Saccharomyces cerevisiae S288C: one gene and its partner. The gene in region 1 interacts genetically with each later gene. Each region holds a gene or a part of one and is shown on either strand. Other genes may lie near its edges.

What was found. A genetic interaction does not mean that the proteins touch.
Region 2: mutations in YER053C-A (region 1) and FSH1 together harm fitness more than expected from each alone (negative genetic interaction), as found in Saccharomyces cerevisiae (one large-scale study listed by BioGRID).

Annotation. Positions count from the first base shown.
Region 1 is NC_001137.3:260,431-263,030, forward strand, and holds YER053C-A (uncharacterized protein), read right to left. Parts: upstream 617-2,600; coding exon 503-616; downstream 1-502. Other genes in the region: GIP2 (Gip2p), read right to left, coding at 1,622-2,600.
Region 2 is NC_001140.6:204,303-207,699, reverse strand, and holds FSH1 (putative serine hydrolase), read right to left. Parts: upstream 1,239-3,397; coding exon 507-1,238; downstream 1-506. Other genes in the region: divalent metal ion transporter SMF2, read right to left, coding at 1-46; YHK8 (Yhk8p), read right to left, coding at 1,549-3,093.

The sequences.
Region 1 (2,600 bases):
GGATGTTTCCCTTCTTATTTTCGAAATGAAGCTTTTTGGAGAGATGGGGATAGGTGGCTTTTTGTGCCTTCCTCGAATGTCTAGCCGAGTCTTGCGATGGAAGGGCTAGACAGCATGTTTTAGAGATGTAGTAAGTTATATTATAATCATATTATAATTGCCTAAATATAGACGTATATCATATACAATAGCAAAAATACATAATTACGAACATAAAAATGAAAATAACTTTGGTCAAACAGCGTGAGCTGTCAAACGTATAAATCTTAAAAAACGTGTATTAAGTATGAGCTAAGAAGGCGCTCATCAATAGAAAACCGGATTAAAAACATCGAAAATTATTGAAAAAATATTAAGTGTAGTGTGGAAATGAATGAGTAGAAAAAAGATAAATTAGAAAACAGAACATCAACTTCGTAAATAGTAAAACGCTAAGCCAGACTAGGTAGAACTGACTTTGCATACCTCTCTTGGCGGCAGTAAGCAGATTAGCTGATTTAAATCACTGCAAGTAAGGAACATCGCTCTTGTTTCTGTTCATGACTGTTCTATGAGCACCAAAGTAGAAAACGAAAATGAAAGCGAAAATACTCAAAAAAATCTCTAAATCTTGCATTGTAGTGTGTACTGTGTAGTAAAGCTATTGTTTGTTTTTATTATTTCTATGTAGAATTCTGTAAAAGGACGAAAAGAATGTTTCCAAGCAGTATGTCTACCTCTGTCGTTGTAGAAGGGATTCCTACTTCTTTATATACAAAATGCACATCGGTAGAAATATCTAATTCTCTATTTAATTGAATGCATAAGGGGTACCAAAAAATCTCTCTTCACGTCTTATAGCTGAACAGTTATCGGATATAGGCTACCACATAAAAGAACAGGGATGTCCTAATACAGCAATCATTTTTTTTTTCATTACGTAAAAAGTAAAGTAAACCATCCATTCTCCCTTCTTTCAGTCAAATGCCGCAGTCCCTTACATTTCAAACTGAAGCGTCGGGATGAGACTGTAGAAAGAAGTAGGAGTAGTATGCAAAAAAAAAAAAAAAAAAAAAATATAACCTCTGCCGGAAGTGAAGGCACAAAAATAGCTCTCTCTAAATGGGCGGTGGAAGGGTGTTCAAAAGTAAAGAAATATAGGCGCACTTCTGAAGTCATCGTAGGTGAATAAGCAAGTCTTTATCGGCATGTTCGGGGTTTTTTTTACCAATGACGATTTCTGTCACTTAACTTTTTAGGCCTTCCGTGGTCGTGTCATAGCAACCCCTAGTTTTCTCTTCACATTTTGTCGCGTTTCCGTCGCACAGTAAGAGCTGTATAGCGTTGAATGAATGTAAAAAATGCTCACTGAAGGACGGTAGCCTTTACCAGTCTTTTACGTGCCGAATGCACATTTGTATATACGCCCACACACATCGAAGATCGGCTCCCGATTTCTTGTGAGATATTTATCTGTTTATTTGCTTATTTGTGATTTATGTATATTTACTTGAAATATTCTAGCATGTTTTAGAGTTATTTATCGGAGTTCGGTCCCAATCATGAGAGTAACTCAGGCCAAGATCTAGCAAGTCATTTTGCTTTTTATGTCCATTCTTCATCTCCTTCCTTCTGGTTGCCTTCATGCTGCCGCCGCGAAGGGATCGTTAAAGCCATCCATTACAACATCCACCTTATAATTATTCCCGTTGTTGTTGTCCCAGTACTCTTCGCGCTCATAGTCGTTACGTGTAGAATAATGAATGCAAAATTCTAACTTGCCGCGAGGATCCACTTTGCTGACATCATCGATAATGAAGTGGAAAATGTCCATGTTAGTGCCCGGCAATATTCCATCGCCATCACTGATGTAAACGCATTCCACTTCATGTGTTGTTCTCCAACTATCCCACGTATATCGTACCACCACTCTTTTATCATAGAAAATGTTTTTCACTAGTATCCTTCCAGCAATTAATCTTGTACAGCCAGCGTTATAACCCTTGGCCACACCATTACAGTCATTACCATTGTGGCTATTGGGAATATTATAAAATGAGGAGGAATTTGAAAAGTAATTGTTGTCTCTATGGATGTATAATGACAATTCTTGTAGAAAAACTTTCTTATTTTGTGATAAATTGATAAAAATGTTCAGCTTTAAACTTTTAGGATTCTTGTTGCTTAAAATGGGGAAGTTCTTGCTGTATAATCCAACAACATGGTAATTTTTTGAATTACGATCTGAAATTTCATGAGCACCGCCACCATTAACGAATTTTTTATTTGATTTTGATGGTGGCATGTCGGTCCTGTTCTTTAGGAGGTTCTGAAATCTTTTACTTTTTCTTAATTTTGTATTGTTGGTGCCTTTACCATTGTTTGGATTCGAAATTTTAGCAGGATGTGCGAAGCCTTTTGGCGCAACTGTCGTCAAGTCATCATCTATGGATGTCGTTTCTAATCCAGATGATAGCATTTTTGTCTCTTCTTCCGGGTCCACCATTAAATTCACTGGCTTATGCTTAAAGCTTAGACAATTATCGTGTTGTTCAGTTTTATTAACGTTTATAGGGCTTTCATCCTCAGCAAAATATTTTACAGGTGCCGCCTGATCAAAG
Region 2 (3,397 bases), on another chromosome or scaffold:
GGGATTCATCGCTCCATTGAATAGGTTCATATTCTTGGGACGTCATCAAACATAAACGCTATACGGAAAATTAGTGGTTAAATGGCAATAGAGATGTGCTAATATTAGTATCAAAACAAATAGTTGTTGAAGAGGGTTTTCTAAACGGTTAAACGCGTTTGATGGTTAAATGACTAGAAGCAAAAGGAGACTGATTCTGAAATTTAATATGATTTCTTTTTTTTCTGCTGTTTCTCTTCTGCATTATTTTCTTCCTTCGAGAAAGAGTATAAGTATGTTTAAAAAGGTCTTCGTAAGCCACGCTAAAGCACCCCGGGTGGATTTTTCGCGCCGGGCGGGGTTAGCAGCACGCAGGATGGAAGAGAAGAGAAAGGATGCTACAAACTTGTGGTTCATTCTATACAAAGTACTTATATGTATATATACATACTCGATCAGCATTTCACTCCACACACCCTGCGTGTGATAGTAAAAAGCTAGAAAGCAGGTAAGCAACAACCTACGATTTATTCAGAAGCTTCTTGTAAGGAAGAGGTTATTTGTTCAACAATTGGTCTGATAATGTCCTTCTTGTTTGGAACCATATGTCCACCAGGGTGTTCGTAAGCCAACACCTTTTCCTTATTACCATTTTGCGCCTTCAAATAAATATCGTACAGGTACTTGGATCTGACGGATGGGACGGCTTGGTCAGAAGCACCATAGATGAAGATCATCTTGGTCTTCATGTCTGGTTTTACCGCAAATGAGTCTCTGAATTTTTCGGTTATTCTCAATTCTCCAGGATGTTCTGGGTCTGGCTCGGTGAAGGAATAGCCGGAAATGACTACACTTACCTTGAATTGTGGATGGTCTGGAACTAACTCTGAGATCTTGTTGGTGATGATAGAGGACAATGCGGCACCTTGAGAGAAACCGACAATGCCGTCGTATGGGCCATTGGCCTTGATGTGATCAACAACAGACTTCAAACCTTCTGAGATATCCAATTCGTGAGAGATTTCGCTGTGATAGAACCAGGCTCTGTTAACATCCGCATCTAGGGTGGCTTGCCATTTTTCATCATCCATTTCAAATGGCAAGTCCTTCTTTTCTAAAAGGACTGGTGCATCAATATAGTCACATTGGACATTAGCCTTCTTCAATAATTTTCTAATACCAGATGATTTTTCGGAGAAAACTTTACCGTTTTGCAAGAAGCCGTGTAAAAATAATAATTTTGGAATTTGTACAGTCATCCTTCGTTTATTACAAGCTAGAGAGTTTCAGATTTAGCTGCTACTTTTACTAGAAAATTAAGATTGGCCGCGTACATCTGGCATTTTGCACCTTTATGGTTTATATACAATATACATTGCAGCCAAAAACATTCGAAAACTAGAGAAAAAGAAAGAAAACATGCGAGAATATGCAAAAATGAAAAAATGCAAAATTTCTTTTTTCTTTGGCCTATGCGTGTTGCCTTTTGAAGATCCGAAACAATCTATCACCAATGACGTAAGCGGGAAAAGATTATGCAACATCCAAAGGAAAAAATATGCAAAAAAATCAATCATCCCATGCATACGGCGACTTGGCTCTCAGTCGGGCACCGTATTTGGTAAACAGAAATGGGACAGGAATCATCGCTACGGTCACCATTGCCAAGAGAAAGCCGGCCCAATTCACTCCCATTGACTTGTACATCTGGAGTCCGAAAAGAGGGAAGACACCGGCCATTATGCATCTCACAAATGTGTTACAAGCCATTCCAGAAGCTGCATATCTTCTATAGGCATCCACTGTATACGCAAAAACACCGGTAAAGACGAAATAAACACCTGAACCGAAAATTGCACTGCCTATAATTGGTGCAATCCAATGGACATGCTTGTAGCAGGTGAATGCAAAAATGAAGAGCCCAACTGGGGTCAAAAAGGCGCCGTAGAACAGAGGCTCGAATCTCATTTCGGGAGTCTTGACGCCATTATTTCTTTTGACTCTCCACTCAAACGTTTTTTGGAATAACAAGCAAGTAGGAGCCGAGAGTATCATGCCGACCATAATACCGATATAGGAGCATGCAATCTCCATGGGCCCAAAGTTGTAAAGTTTCTTGAACACATAAGGAAACGCTACGAAATATAAATATATTATGGCAAGTTCCAATCCAGTATAGAAGCAAAGCACACCCATCATTCGGTCTCGAAGTAACAGGCCAAAGGGTCTTTTGGTTGAGAGAAAGATTGCGGAAAGTAAGGAAGTCTGTTCGCGGGTGACTTCCAGGACAGCATAATACCGTTGATCATTTTTCTCTTTCCTCAATCTCTTAGCTTTACGTATTAACAGCATTGGTTTGTAGGTTTCAGGTATGGTAAAGATGATCATAACGAGACAACATCCAGAAGTGATGAGAAGTGTGATAAATGTCCATTTATAACTTTGATGGTATAAGGCTCCACCAATGATTGGTCCTAAAGAGGGCCCCAAAAAGGCCGATGTAGTGTATATTGCCATAGGAATACCAATTTGGTCTTTGTCGAATATATCGGCAATGGCGCCGCCAGCCACACTTAGAAAGGCTGAACCAAAAAACCCGGATAGAAATCTGCCAAACATGACACCCGTAATGGTCTTGGACCAAATGGTCAAACACTGCCATATGATACTGAGCGTAAGGGCGTATAAAAATGTGATCCTTCGTCCATATAGTTCACTTAGTGGAGACAGAAATAAAGGTCCTATACCGAGCCCAAACACATAAAGCGTAATTCCCAGAGTGCTGACTTCGTGCGAAATATGAAAGTGTTCGATTATGTGCGTTGAAGGAAGCGTCCAGCTGGACGAGATCATCGTAATTACCATCGATGTGAATGTAATTAACGAGGAAATATAATACCGGCGGGCGGTGCTCATATGCCGTGCTATATCTTCTGGGTCCGCGATGTCCTCGTTGAAGGTCACTTCATGCGATTGTTTGCCGTCATTTTTTCGTTCACTGGTCAATTCCAGATCCAGTTTTGCGGCTTTGTCTGAGTTTATTGAACAATGCTCTTCTTCAGTAGATGTCAATGCCGATGACTGTGCACTCGCTATTTGAAATTCTGCAACCATATCCTGTTGTTATATCTGCATATATATGTTCTTAGTATACAAGGTGATACCATACACCAAATGTAAGGCAAATATGCCTTTATATAGGGTCCAGGTGAACGTAACGCATCTAATAACAAGTGTTATTGCTTGACCTAATAATCTGAGATGGTCGCTTCACCGGTAGAAAAATTCTCTGCGTATTACTAATCTCAACAATAGCCAACACTAAATCCGTAGGACCGGCGAAAAGCGTGCTAATCTCCGCTTTATTGCCGGATCCGAAAGGTGTTTCTGGCATCAAGATGTTATAAATCACGGAATT